Linked DNA regions of Struthio camelus. The protein of the gene in region 1 interacts with the protein of each later gene in a pairwise test. Links are inferred from orthologs where the notes say so. Each region holds a gene or a part of one and is shown on either strand. Other genes may lie near its edges.

Region 1 (7,477 bases):
AGCGAGGTCTGTTGTGTTTAAATCTGTGCATTTAAATTTAAGATCTTTCTTGAAAGCATCTGACAGGAAGCTTCACATGAATGATCAGCACGGCTTCCAGACTGCGTTTTATGAGTAGGAATGAAACCCAAGTCACCTGCAAACTGGACTCATCAGCCCTAGGGTCCCGATGCTGCAAGGTGATTATCCCTAGGTGCTTCATCGCAGACACTCAGGCCCGGTAAGGACAGTTTCTGCTGGCTGCACTGCCTGGGATCCCAAATTAGGGGTGACAGCAGCATCTGTGGGGGCTGCAGCCAGAAAAATGGATCCCATTGGAGAGCGCTGTGCTGGCACTGCCAATGCGTCTCGGCCCTGGAGAGCGCTGAAGGTGACACCTGGGCTATAGATACAGGACAATGCTTAAACATGACAAGCCTCAAGGCAAAGCAGGTTCAAGTCTGAAGATTTTGGAAGGGGCAAACCAGCTCCCACCCATGCTGCTGATAGGCCTCCTAGAAACAAAGGGAGAGCCCTGCTCCACTTTCCCAAGAAACATTGGGAAGACGTGGAAACCAGTAAACAAAAAAAAGCCAGACAGCAGGATTTTCAGGTCTAGCTGCATGCTTAGAGAAAGGAATCCACTGACTCCAGATTCTTGTGCTCCCTTTGCTCCGCAGATAACAGGATTCCCAGTCCCCGCAAGCCAGAAACGCACCATGCAGGTGTTTTCTTTGCATGCCCAATGGGAAACCCAGCCTGGCAGAGAAAGTGAAACAGTCCCTGGCCTGTATTACGGCAAGTTCAGTTAAAGATGGAACTATAAAAAATAGAAACAGATCAAAGTGGAGCTTGCAGCCTATTATTAAAGTAAGCTGAGACGATATAAGCTTAGAGTAACTCCATATCATAGGAGAATCCTGTCTAATGGAGATGGGTACACGTCTCCCTTCGCCCAGTTTCCAACAGCCTGCGCGCCATAGATGGGGCTCACATCACCGCGGTGCCCTGCCTCGGGGACCCATCCGTGCAGCGCACGCCACAGCCACCAGCTGCACCCTGCCCCGCTTTGGGGACTCCCCTGGCCTGGGGCTCCCCCGGAGCTCTTGGAAAGGTACCCGCTGCGGGCGCCTGACCACAGCTCCCAGCACAGTTTCATAGAGCAGGTGCACTGCAGGTGTTTGGCCACCGGCAGCGCGAAGAATATATTTATAGCATAAAGCATTTGTGATAATCTTTTTCTTTTTTCTTTTTTCTTTTTTCTTTTTTTTGATGACAAGACTGAAAGCTCATTAAGGCTATTGTAACAGAGGTTATTACATATGTAATAGAAGACATCCATTATTGTGCTTACATGGTTGCAGCAATTGTGCATAATTTAGTTTTCAAACTTTCATCATTTGGCTGCTAGGACAAATGTATTTGTCTGATGATATTTTCCCGGGGAAGAAACTGATAATGTAGTTTATAGGGCTTGATGATTTGCTCGTGTATCTGGGATTCCTCTGGGCTTAGAGATAGAATTAGATGGCTCACCAAATGCTTTACAGAATCTATCTCAATTCACTCCGCTCCACTGAGTTTTGTGTCTTTTGAATTGATCTTGCCTCATTTCTTCCTTGTTTATGTACCTTGGTGCTCCAAGTCGGGGGTAGAGGAGGAGCGCCGGAGGCTAGAAAAGCCATCTCTGTCCCCGATCACTCCTCGGGTGCCAAGGGGAGCAGAGAGCACAGATCCCAGCCCCTCGCTGGTGAGACGCAGTTCTTTCGTGATAGCAGAAGTGAGGCCCAGTCTGAAGCAGAGCCCAAGTTGATAAATTAGCCAGGGCTGATAAGATAATGCCCTGTGCCAGCAAAAGTTGAGGAAGTACTGGCAGGAAAGGCTTAGGTCAAGGAGCGCGTGGGCAAGGCCATGGCTGAGGTTCATGGAGCAGAGGTGAGGAAGTGAGCGCAGGGGAGCCAAGGTGGTAGAAGAGCAGTCGCTGGCATGGGAAGATCTGCGCCGGGGGTAGGCAGAATTAACACGTATCAGAATGCCCTGCTCACACGCATGGCCCTTTAGTGAATGGTTGGGACTGGATCGGACAATAATACAAAGCCAGCAGAGCGGTGGATGGACAGAGCTACACCGCTCTCCAATCTGAAAGAAACCGAGGCATGTTATTCCTGCATTGCGATATTTGCAAGACTTACGAGACTCCCAGGCGCTATCAGCATCCAGTCTACTCCCCATGTTCCCTCTGTGGTACCTCTGCGGAGCTCAGACTAACTCACTGACTCACTGCAACCTCTCTCCCAGTAGGGCACATCAGAGGCATTTGGCAAAGTACTGTCCCTTTAAAAATGTGAATTTGTCCAGAAACTATTATGCGGTATAAACACAGAAAAATCAACAGGGTGAATTTCGAACTAATAAAGATTTAATCTCAAAGTCATGAGACTGCCTTTGTTAGGAAAATATACATACCCCTGAGAATCCAGCTACAGTTGCTATATTACACACTGTTCAGCACTCACTGGGCATTTTTCCAAATCCGTTTATTTTTAACATCAGTCACATTATTCAATTAATTATAAAAACACTGAGGTTTTCAAGAGATGTTTCTGATAAAACTGCACAGTACATATGCGTGAGAACAGCAGGGATTAAAATCTCTGTAAACTTTAGCATTCAGGCCTGTTGCTATAAACGACGAGAAAAGTCCTCCAAGGAGGTTATTTATCAGAGTGAATCATACCAGATAACAACAAGGCCTCCTCCCACATCACAAACAGACGATCGTGTGTCCTTTATCTAGTGATGGAAGCAAAAGATCGACGTGTCTGTCACAGTGCTCAGGGTGCAGAATGAGAAGCATAAGGGACCGGGCTGGATTCTTTACATGCTTCCAATAGTCAACCTTCCCAGTTTGACAAATATTAAGTATTTAGCAGACTGAGTTCTTCCCCAATAAACCAAGAAACAGAAAGCAAAAAACAGCCTAGGTACACCAATGTCTTGTGACCTTGTAAACACTAGATATCAACCGACAGAATGGCTTCAAGCCCTGCCTTTGAAAACAGCCTCTCCAAACTCTGCTGTATGGGAAAACCGACATATCCCACAGCGGTTTCATTGTGCCAATATGGAAGAAATGTATTCCCAGCCCTCAGTCTGCGTATCTGTTTATTCTAGCGAGCAAGAATTGTCCTAACAAAGCGTTTGGTCTAATCCAACTTTTAACTTTTAGCCAAGTCAACTTCTGAGTGGTTTTCCTACAATTTTCCTGAAAGGTTCACATTGTGGTAGAATTACTTGAAAGCTCTGATATTGTCTGCATTGATGGCAAAGATTAAAGGCATAGGATCTGGGCATCAAAGCTCAGCAAATAGAGCCATACTCCCAGGCTTTCATCCAAGCTTTGCCAGACATGCAACTCAACCTTGGGAAAAGTCCCTCCACTACGAGCTTCAACTTCTTCTCTGTAACAGCTTTGCTTCAGGAAGACTCCTAGGCACATCCCTAACTTCAAAATAGGCAAATCACGTTGACGAGTGGTAAGCGCCTTTGGAAGGAGAGACGTTTGGTGCTGCTCGCCCTGAAACAATGGAATCCTGCCTGACCAGGGACGCCAGCCGCAAGCGCAGCACGAGGCGGCAGTACCTAGTAACAGGAGGGAGCCATTTTGATGGAGAGATGTATTTAACTGGTTGCCACATCTCACCCACAGAAGGTGAAACTCCTCCAGCTCCCGGCGCTGCCCGGCAGGAGTTTGCTGTGCAGGGCCACAGCCCCTCTCCCGCTCCGGCATAACCAGGCCGGAGGCTGCCGGCGAGGCTGCCGTGCTGGTAAAGGAGCCTGCATGGTTTGGGGCAAAACCATGGGAAAACGTGTGGCTGGGGAAAGCGCTGGGGCGCGGAGGAGGCAAGAGGTCCTCGCGAGACGCTCTGGCTGGCCAGGGGCAGCGCTGCAGGGGGGCGCGGAACCCGCGTCCCTCAGGGCTGCCTCCTCCGTCAGCGGCGGCGGGAGGCCTCGGCTCCCCTCAGCGCGGCCCCGCGCCCCCGAGGGCCGAGGCCTGCCATCCCCGCAGCGAGCCCCCGGAGCCCCACAGCCCGGGCAGCCACCCGGCCGGGGAAGCGGCCACGGGCCGCGGTCCCGCCGGCTGCGCCGTAGCCCCCTGCCCCGCTGAGGCGACCCCCGGGCCGCCGCTGCTGCGCCCCCCGCTTCCCGCCCACGGCCGAGCGAGGGGGCGGGCCTTCCCCAAACCGACAGCCTCTTCCTCCCATCCCTGCGCGCCCTTCCCCGCCCCGTGCCAGAGCAACCAATCAAAGCCCCGCTCCCCCGGCCCGCCTCCTTGCTGCTGTCCAATCGGGTGGCGCCGCTCTCGTGCTCCCGTCCCCTCCTCCCTGGGGAGGAAGGCGGTGGAGGGGGGTTACGTAGTGTCGGGTCGGTATTCCCGAAGCGCGGTGGTGGCTTTGCTCTGCCTTGTGGCTGCCTGCGGTGTTGGCGTAGCGGCCGCACTTGGCGTAGCGCTGGCAGAGGCGGCCGTGGCGGGGAGCAGCGGTGGCCGCGGCGGCCGTGTGAGGCAAGGGCAGGAGGTGCGAGCGGGCCGGGGGCGGGCAGGGCCCGGCCGGGCCGCGGGTCAGGGAGGGTGCCGGGAAGGGGGCTGAGACTTGGCCGCAGCTCATCTCAGGACTCGGAGACCAGGAGGTGGGCTGAGACCTGGCCACAGCTCGGTGCGTGGACTGGGAGGTGGGCTGAGACCTGGCCGCAGCTCATTGCGTGGACTGGGAGGTGGGCTGAGACCTGGCCGCAGCTCGGTGCGTGGACCGGGAGGTGGGCTGAGACCTGGCTGCAGCTCGGTGCATGGTGCACGGGCTGGGAGGTGGGCTGAGACCTGGCCGCAGCTCGGTGCGTGGACCGGGAGGTGGGCTGAGACCTGGCTGCAGCTCGGTGCATGGTGCACGGGCTGGGAGGTGGGCTGAGACCTGGCTGCAGCTCGGTGCATGGTGCACGGGCTGGGAGGTGGGCTGAGACCTGGCCGCAGCTCGGTGCGTGGACCGGGAGGTGGGCTGAGACCTGGCTGCAGCTCGGTGCATGGTGCACGGGCTGGGAGGTGGGCTGAGACCTGGCCGCAGCTCGGTGCGTGGACCGGGAGGTGGGCTGAGACCTGGCTGCAGCTCGGTGCATGGTGCACGGGCTGGGAGGTGGGCTGAGACCTGGCTGCAGCTTGGTGTATTTTCCATGAGGCCTAGAGGTGGGCTGAGATCTGGTTGCAGTTCAGTGCATGGTTTATGAGGCTGGGAGGTGGGCTGAGACCTCACCAGGTTCAGTACACGGCCCAGAAGTTGGGCTGAGACCTGGCTGCAGACTAATGCGTGCCCTAGGGGTGCCAGGAGACAGGCTGTGACCTCGCCACAGCCTGATGCCTACTCCCGGGGGCCCGGAGGTGGGTTGAGACCTGTCCGCATCTTAGTGCGCGCTCCAGGGGACTGCGAGACAGCCGAGACCTAGCTGCAGCTCGGTGCGTGGGCACGCGGGGCAGGCATGGCTCCTGGAGGGGCTGGCGCTGTGAAGCGGCGAGCAGTCCGCCCCTGTGCCGCCCCGCGGGCAGACCCCTGCGAGCCCCGGTCCGCTCTCTTGGCTTTAACAGCAAATTAAAAAAACGCAGCAGGGAGCAGGAGCTTTGCTCGGGTTAATTCACAGTCTCTTAATTCTTAGTATATGCAGGGGCTGTTTACTGCTCAGTGTTTATAACCTCGTCCTCTTTAGATGCTAATCAGCTTTTGGCTGCGTTTGGCCTCGCAGGCTTAGGTGCTTTGTAAACGTACAGTGAAATGACAGGCGCTGGCCCAAAAACTGAACTGAAGAGAACTGCTTGGTGTAGATCGGATGCAAGGGGGAGGCAGCGTAACTCGGTGGGCCTGGCTATTGGACAGCCCGATGACCTGGTTTGGTTGTTATGCTGGGCAGTCTGGAGCAGGCTGCTTTTTTTTTTTTTTTCCCTTCTTTCCTCTCCGTGCTGGTATCTCCATCTGTAAGATACAGGTGCTAACACTTAGGGCTGGTTAGAAAAACAGAAAAGAAAAAGATTTTGCATTTCTTGAGGTTGCTTTACTTGCTGTTATTAGACTATATGTTAAACTACTCTTGCTCAGTAAATTGCTTCTGAAGATGATGAATGAAAATAATTGTAAAAGAATAGATTTTTAATAACCACTTTGCAAAACAGAGACGACCAGGGTAGGGACAACAGTGAGGCTTCCTCTAGACCAGAAGGGGGAAGAGGGTGTTGGGGCCAGGCTAATTGAGGCCGTATTTCTTAAGGCTGCTATGAGTCTGGACTCAATGTTATCCATCCAAACAGGTTTTAGAGTAGGAGGAGCCTAAGAGTGGCTGGGACTAATTTACTCATTTCCCTCCCAAAGGCTGACCCGAAGACCTGTATGAAGTGATTGCACAAGAAGAGGAGGGAGAAGCTGGCAGCTTTCTGAATGAGCTGCACACAGACCCGAGGCTTCTTCAGAGACCCAAGATGACTTCCTGTGAGACATGCTTTCTGGAGGAATTCTGATGAAGACAGAGCGCTGCAGCCTCTAATTGGGACAGCTCCTGCTGGTCTGGAGCTGAGACTTACTTTTCTCCCTTCTTTTTCCCTTGGAGATGTTGCAGAGATATAACCTGTCTTCTTCCTCCCCACCTGAAGCCTGCCGTGGCAATGATCCCACAGCCAGACCCGACCACCAAAGAGAAGAGGATTGTGCATTTGAAGCTGGGCCGTCATTGTAACTGAACTGGAATTTACTCCCTGCTTACGCTCCTGGAACGACTGCCGGCCGTTCCCCTGTTTGTCCGTGTGTGTTTTGAGCTGCTCCTCCCTAATCTTGTTTGGAATTCCTGGGCTTTCCACGCTGAATCTGCCCATGGCTTTCCTGATGAAGAAAAAGAAATTCAAATTTCAGACAAGCTTCACTCTAGAAGAGCTGACGGCTGTCCCCTTTGTGAATGGGGTTCTGTTCTGCAAAATCAGGCTGCTGGACGGAGGAGACTTTGCTAGCTTATCTAGCAGGTAAGAAGCTAACTTGCTTCCTGGCTCTTCTTCTTTTCCCGGTTTTTCTCTACTTGAATGGTTCGGCATATGGCTACCACTCGCCTGCCCCTTGATGTGTTTTTAATAGTTCTGTTTTAGGGCCCCACATGCCACACCGTCCTCCAGAGGGGAGGAAGAATGTAGCTGGAGAGCTCTGAGCCTGGTTATTGTTGTCTGACCAGAGCTAGATTGAACTTTTCGGAGGCTTGGAGGGTGGGAGGTCGCACCCCCGAAGGAGATTGGAGTTTGTTGATGAAAACGTTCTCTCTCTCTCTCTCTCTCTCTCTCTCTCTCTCTCTCTTTCCCTCCCTCCCTTACCCAAATTTTCACAAGCTATTTTAGACCTTGTGCTGTACTGTTTTCATGCCTAACTTAAACCTTCCTACAGAGCTGAGTTTCATCTGAACTATACGAATGGACACTTCCCAA
Region 2 (7,604 bases), on another chromosome or scaffold:
GCTGGTTTCAGCCATCCTCCCGCAATGGACTGAAGAGGACATTCTCCCTCATGCAACAAGAGGCAAGAGCCAAGACCACCTTCTTCAACTTTCAACTCTAAGTCTTAACTCTGACTTCTTTAGTATTTTACACTCTGGAGAGACTAGCCAAGCTATTCCAGGGTTGACTATAGCTTACCCACTTTTACAAAACAGAGCATTTTGTTGTTTTTAAAACAGCATTAAGGCTGCTTGTCTTGAAATTAGCAACTGCCAGCTTTGTTGTGCTTCACAGGTGCAACCAGTCTTCCAGTGCAGCACCTGCTCTGACCTCTCCACTGCCCAAGCTCCAGCAAGAAAACAACTTTCCAGACCCACCAGCTGGCTTGAAGGGGATCAGGCAGAGCAGGCTAAGGCAAAGCAATCACATTGCCAGACTGCTTTTGCTTCTGCAAAAGGATAACAGAAACCCTATTTTTATCAGGGTTTTTGTTTTTTGAGAAACATTGTTTCAGCCTTCAGAAGAAATCTGCGCTAAACACACACAAAACACCCTTAGCCAAAGTACTTTTAAAAGGAACCTGTTTGAACCAAAAGTGAAACCCTGTGCAATTAATTTACTACATAGCTTTAATGAGAAACTGGTTCACCTATTTGCAACATGAAGCTTAAAGTAATACAACGTGGCTTAGTCACATCTAAGACACATCAGCTACCTATTCATAAGCATTGCAGGATTGCTATATAGAGGCAATATGCAGAGTGCATTGGTTTTCAACTGCTGCAGCCTCAGAGATGTCACTAGTGATGACACAACTGTTACTAGGAAGCCCTTCACTTGCTGTTCCTGTGCCTCTTGTGTACAGTCCTGTAGTATGGGCCAAACTTTAATATGTGGAAACAAATGTTATTGCCTGTACATCAGTACAGGCTTACTCCCATTTGTGATTATTCTAAGTAAAAGAATTCCTATGATAATGTAGTTGGCAACCACAGAAATAGCTTAAGCCCCTTCATTTCTAGTCACCATAGCTAGAAAACTCCTTAGCCTCTGGAAGGCCTCAAGACTGTACAAATTGTTAAGACACAGCAAGTTTGATACAGAGATGTGACACACAATTAATCTCCATTCATAGCCTGCTATACTTGTCAGCAAACAAAGGCTGTGCTTTAGAAGGAGATCTGAAACCTTCAATTAAAAACAGTCAGTTAACAAGAAAATAATCTAAGTTAAAGGAAGGTGGCAGGTGCAAAAATGAGTTGTTTACAAAAGTGTCAGCACTGAAACAATAAAGTGCTGCACATCAAAAATGTGAAAGGGTGAACTTCACTGAAGCCCCCACGATTAAAAAACACAGGAGAAAATTTACACCTACATCTGGGGGAAGACACAAAGCATTTGGAAGTGAGCTTTGATGGGCTTGGAGGCTGCACTCTCTCTCAAACTGAGAGATTCCAGGACTGGAAGTTATCCCAAGGCTCAGCGTGAAAGGGGCTACTGCTCCAAGCTGTCAGAAGCCATCTCGACAGGAAATGAGAGGTCACCAAACCTCAAGGCTGGCTGGGCCAGGCTCAAACACAACCACTCCGAGTGGCAAGCAGCAACCTGCCAACAACTCTTTCCCCACCACCCACACCTGAGGTAGCAGGATGTGTCAGCAGCATGGGCTGCTCAGCAAAGGGCTAACACCACTGTGCTAGCCTGCAACACTGCTATCACATTTTATTTATGGTGAGGTTAGAGAGAATTAGCAGAGGAGGAAGTCATCACATGAACAGACTTGAGCGTGGAGAGGAAAACAGTACTGTAGAGTAAAACTACCAACTCTGCAAGCAACTTCCCTTTTTGTTTGTGTGAATTCTTCCCGCAAGGACACACCAAGTGATCATTCAGTCACAGCAGAAAGGGAACTCAGAGCTCCAACAGCTTTTAACTTGACTGTTTAAGAAACTAAATAAAACACAAGCCAGACTCCTAAAACAAAAACAGCCTTGAAGTCCCAGGTTCGTAGCATCCCCTGAAGGGCCGACAGTGAGAGTCAGGGATAACGTGCACTAGGCTGAACTCACAGGAGTAACTTATACCCTCTCTGGGACTAATACAGTCACCTGCACGTGGCAATTCTCTCACCAAGCCTTTGCCTGCTGTACCATACCATGGTGATGGGGACAGCAATAGCCACAAAGTCCTTGAAAGTGTGCTTCACAACATGAACTAATTCCATACAGAGGAGTCTGGCATTGTTTCTGCTTGGCTGACCCACCATCTTAACAAGAAGTGCAAGAATTCAAGTTTGCTAAGAAACCCAGGAAAATCAATTTCAAAAGCCTCACATATGCCATCTTAGACATACAGAAGTAAATGCTGTCAACTGTAAGTGTAGTTCAGTCACTGAGATGCTGAGACCTCAGCAGATCACATTATCAAGCAGAAGCTGGGCTCAAAACCAGCTCTACACCCCCATTTCACTGGCATTGAAGCTTCCCTGAGGATTTATCCCCATAGGGCCAGCTTGCTCACTGCATCCTCTAGCGTGGCACAACACATTTAACACAACATCTAAGGCCAAGAGACACCTCTGTCAGAGCCACAACAAAGTTTGCTTAGAGGGTTCACTATAGCACACAAGCTTCTTCCACCCTTTGTACCAGCTCCCCTGTCCCACTGCAAGGGCACTGACCAGTGGAGTCACTCAATGCCTTACCTGAGAGCCCCCAGTAGAGACAGCTTCTGACCATACCCCTGCCCCCCCCCCAAGGTCTCTCACACACTTTTCTCCCCTGACACACAGGCTTCGGGATCACCAGAGAGCTTCCCCATCCCAAATCACAGAACGTCACCACAGACCCACCTTACCCACCAGGGGCAACACAAGGACACTCTCAAGAGTGCCAGAACAGGCAGCTCTGCTCCCTACAGTTAGGGGTGCAGAAGACATACATAACCTGAGCACCCAGACACCACAGCTTCAGCCTCCATAGTTCCCCCCCTCCTACTCCCCTCTCTGGCTCAGCACAGCCACATCCAAATAGTCCTTGAGCCTCTTCCCCTGCAACTGTAGCTTTTCCCAGTTAGGCAGAGGGGGAGCAAGAAGGAAGCTGTGGTTACCTTCAAGGAGTCTCTGAATCTCCTCTGGGATCATGCTACTGCCACCTTCTCTCCACAGGAGTCAAACCTGCCGCTCCTGCTCACGTCCCTGTCCCCAGGCAGGGCTGAGTGCAGGAGGAAGCGGGGAGGCGGGGATGCCCCGGGGAAGGTAGGAGGAACCGGGGCTCGGCTGCCTCCTCCGGCAGCGGCCCCAGCCCCCTTGCCGCGGCCTTGCAGGGAGGAACAAGGTGCCAAAGTGCCCAGGACGCACCAGGACCAACACCTCGGTATTCCCCCCGGGCCACTGGGCTCTAGCCAACAACCTGCAGATGTGCCTGATACCAGCCCCCAGAGCAACACAGCTGAAACAATGCTCCCTGCATTAGCATTTAAATCAGGTGGCACTTAGGCATGTTTCTCCTTCATTATCACATAATTCTGTACACCTGCTGGTAGAGGAGACCCATGAGCTCGGTGAGTATGTGTGGCCATATATTTAACTTCCAGTGCCTGTTCCTAGCACAAGATGAGCTGGGGGTTGGATCTGGTCCAGGCAAAGGCATGCTCCTTCCTCTAATGTGCAGGGGAAGAGAGCGGTACTTGGCTCATCTGCAATAAAACTTCCCCTCTTCCTGCATCCTGCTTAGGAAGGGAGCTAGATTGTAATGACCATTCATATTTCTACATCTTGCCCGGCAGAAGAGCAAGGTTGCACACTTTAACTTGCTTTATGATAGGCAATAAATGCAAACCGCACTCTACAAAACAAAAATGGCATTGCATTAGATTAACCCACAGTCTTACATCTGCTTCCCTCCTATATAAATGAATTAGCACAGGCTGACCAGGCTATGAGGATATCACAATTGTTTTCAGTCCTTGCATTCCCAAATTTTAGGCTCAATCCTGACAAATTCAAAGACAGTCTTCCTTATCTGAAGCTCACCAATGATTCCAAGGGCTAACCTGAGATTCCCCAAGGATTAAGTGTACATGATCCAGTCCTTACTTTGCACAGTGTCCCACTATCCTTCAGTAGTATCAAAAAAGTATTTATGATTATAGTACATGGATAATGTTTTTCTGCCACTTTTACTTTTCTGACATTCTATGCATGACATATGATTTTTTAATTATATTTTCCTAACCTAGCAAATGTTGGAGATGACAAAAAAAGAAAGCAATCAGGCTGTGTTGACCACGGGCACAAAACCACACAGCTTCACTAAAATTCATGCTTGCTGTTTTCGCCAGGGGCAAAATACAAGCTCCTGATAGTGCAGAAGCAGGGCTGAAACTGGGATCTCACTGTATACCAAGGTGTATCATAGTGTCATGAGGTAGGGACACTCCGAACTGTCAGAGAAGGAAACTCCTTAAAACCGCTTCTCTTGATGCTTTCCTGACCTGCTGCTCTGGGCAAACCAGCCTGCCACAGTAGTTATCACAGGCTGGAAAAGCAAAATCTCTGGGGGAAGAGAAAAAAAAGAGTGCATTGGGCTCCCAGCCCCCAAAGACCGGGATACACAAACACTTCACTATGGTCTCACTGGCTTCAGTGGGACAATGCCATGTTTTGAGGCTGAGTGTATTTCTAAATAATTGCAGAATCAGATTCTTACAGCTCTCCAGGTGCATCACCTGGAAGGAATAAGGCTTAGCTATTGGGCAGCCATCAATGTAGGAAACCTGGAACAGGATCCAGCTTTGCTCCAAGCTTCTTGCTTGGTTCAGTCAAGACAATGTGTGCTTGAGGTCTACCCTGGAGATGTGATGTAAAAGCTTCACTGGGAAATGCACAGGTATGGGAGCTATGGAAGTTTATCAGATAGATGCTCCACCGTATGCTATAAGCTGGTAACATGATTTGTGACCTACTTTCTGAGACACATGGTTGCAAAAAAGGAAAAAGACTGTATTGTGCTTTTAGTTGATCAGTACAAATCAGATAAAGAACAGGTGTAAGATGAAGTGCAGTGCTTTGTTTTTTGGTTTGGGGCATGTGTGCCTGCAGTTCTAGTGTGTTGGCTCCACTGGAGACAGCAGAGTGAAAGGGGAAAACCCCAAAAGCAGCTGCAAAGTACTTTTATTACTTTTAAATTGAAACATGCACTTTTATGCATGGGAGCAGCACCATGGTAAATCACACTTGTCAAGAAGGGATGGTTTTAAAGGAGAAGTGAAGGTACCATGACCATAAGTGTGTTTAGTGTACACAATGGGAAAAGTGGTGTTGCACACTGCTTTCTGCACAGTGAGTCTCTCAGAGTAGTAAAGCTGAAGTGGCAGCTCCCATTTGGGGTTTAGTCACAAAGAGGAGAAGACATTTTGCTTTAGCTCACACTCAGGGAGACTTCATTGCTCTCTAGATCTGTGGAGAGCAGCCTACCACCACTTCCGATTTGTCACTTGGCTGCTTTCTGTACATGCATGTAATTTCACAATAACCTGGAGATAGACTTCAGGTCTGACATTACCGCCCTAGACCTTACAAGTTTCCTATTTTGAGTGTAAAGTTCACTCAGTGTCTGTCCTTCGCCCTTTGTCTTGTATCCTGCTGGGCAGGCTTACGCTCCCTGACAACAGAGCTGCAGCATATTCTTGATTTGAGGACTCCATGTACAAGAAATTGCTTCTCAGTGGCACTGGATGCAAGGGCCTTAGAGCACAGAAAATGTTGCTGCAGTTCAGAAGGCCTCACATGGAAGGTGGGCTTGCTTGAAAGCTATTGTCTTTCCCATTATGTGTAAGGTCAGGACTGAGAAAATTGACAGTCTCCTAGGGGGACAAAATTTGAATCTCTGTTAGCTGCATAAGGCCCCCAACACATTTGAGTGGTTCTGATTGTATGCAAGAAACGGTAGCATGTGTTCTCACCTGGAGGTGTTTAGGTGTAAATATTTAAATGTTTCTGTGTAAAATTCCTAGTCCGTTCATTACAGCCCGAAAATAAAAAGCAGCTGCTTTCTGAGACTAACTTTAAAAATGAGTTTATAAGGAAACGAACTAGGTCCCTTAAACTGAAGAAACTGCCTTCAGATATGCCAGAAAGATCAATGAAGCCTGATCAATGCAAATCTCAAAGGAAAAAATGTTCATGCAACTGCAAAGAAAAGGATCATCTCACATCTCTCTGCTTTTCTGTAGCAACTGCTTATGTAACGGTTTGAAAAAACAGTGCAAATAGTGAACTAGAAGATAGCTGGTCACTAAGTCTTGTTCAAGAACTAAACAATTTATCATATTTAAGGTCTAGAATAAATTTTTCCTCATGTCAAACTGCAGGGACTTGTTTTGTGGATCTTTTGGTTTGCCTTCCTTTGCAGCTTTGGGTGTAATCACTGCTTAAGAGCATACGAGGACTTCACCCAGCAAATTTCCTGCTCTTGCAGTACTTATGCCATTAGTACAGCTCTAGATCTTTTCTGCTGTACTTCTGGGATACATTGCAGTTGTGATTTTTGGTCTTTTGCTACAGCTCTTAAGGCCATCATGAGGTACTGAAAGTACAGGACCGTGTGGAGGCTGGTGCTGTTGCACCATAGGTGCTTTAGACATCTATCCCATGGCCCTGGGAGCTGGGAACAGGACTCAGCACCTAGAATATTTCCCTCAGGCCCTACATGAAGATTTTGTTAAGATAAGGCTGACTGTGTAGAAGGTATTGTTTTTATTAAATCCATTTTACTGAGAAACATTGAGGCACAGAGCCTCAGCTGCCACGGAGATGTAGATGCTATTACCTGAAACCCCAGCACAATGCAGTAGCCCAGCCAAGCCCTGGCAGATAGAGCCAGGCAGACTGATTCCCAGGCTAATGACCTGTTTTTCCCTGCTTTTTTTCTTGCCACTTTCATTTTTGAATGTGTGAATAGGTTACAAATTTAGTTTAGTGGTCATCTGGGAAGGAGATGGGGGAGGCTGGCAGGGACTGACAAGTTCCACTGTGTCATTGTTATATAGCATCAAGTTTTACGGGCTATGGATGTAAAGCTGCCTCCCTACATGATAAAAGCCCCACCTTAATCATTTTAGGTCCTAAGTTCAGCAGACAGGCTCTCTCCTAATGCTATTCTGTTAAATGGACAAATTCCTTTGAAGGCTTGTCTTGTTTTGAAATCCAATTTCACAGGAAGCCAGATGCGATTGGGTGTAGCTATGGAAACAAAGCAGGGCAGCCTTAGAAGAGCTGAGCGATGCAAGGTAAAATGTGAGAGTCAGAGTCCTTTACTGCTCTGTCGGAAATATCAAAGGATCTGGAGAGGTTGGCAGGAGATGTGTCCCTGTTACGGACTGTTCTGTGTGGCTGGGTACCAGCGCCTGTCAGCAGAGGTAAGCAGCCAGCTGTGCTGTCACACAGGCTGAATAGGTGCTGAATGCACAAAACCAGGGGGTGCAGGCTCTCGAGTTCTCGTCTGCTCCCTCCCAGCTCCTCCAGCGCATCAGCATCGCAGCCTTCCCCTCTGCCATTGGGAAAGGTTAACAACAAAAGGGTAACAAGGTTAAACCACAAAGCCCCAGCTGATAACAGCCCTTT

Evidence for each region.
Region 2: the proteins of EEIG1 (region 1) and SKAP1 interact in binary tests that used the Homo sapiens proteins (3 or more experiments, as listed by UniProt). The two-hybrid records come from large-scale screens. The link is inferred for Struthio camelus from reciprocal best matches to the Homo sapiens genes EEIG1 and SKAP1.

What each region holds. Positions count from the first base shown.
Region 1 is NC_090961.1:7,770,708-7,778,184, reverse strand, and holds the start of EEIG1 (early estrogen-induced gene 1 protein), read left to right. Parts: upstream 1-4,374; 5' UTR 4,375-4,556; intron 4,557-4,567; exon of another isoform or gene 4,568-4,694; intron 4,695-5,123; exon of another isoform or gene 5,124-5,142; intron 5,143-5,784; exon of another isoform or gene 5,785-5,876; intron 5,877-6,386; 5' UTR 6,387-6,881; coding exon 6,882-7,027; intron 7,028-7,477. UniProt on the Homo sapiens protein: Key component of TNFSF11/RANKL- and TNF-induced osteoclastogenesis pathways, thereby mediates bone resorption in pathological bone loss conditions.
Region 2 is NC_090966.1:5,546,988-5,554,591, reverse strand, and holds the start of SKAP1 (src kinase-associated phosphoprotein 1), read right to left. Parts: upstream 3,216-7,604; 5' UTR 3,123-3,215; coding exon 3,089-3,122; intron 1-3,088. UniProt on the Homo sapiens protein: Positively regulates T-cell receptor signaling by enhancing the MAP kinase pathway. Required for optimal conjugation between T-cells and antigen-presenting cells by promoting the clustering of integrin ITGAL on the surface of T-cells.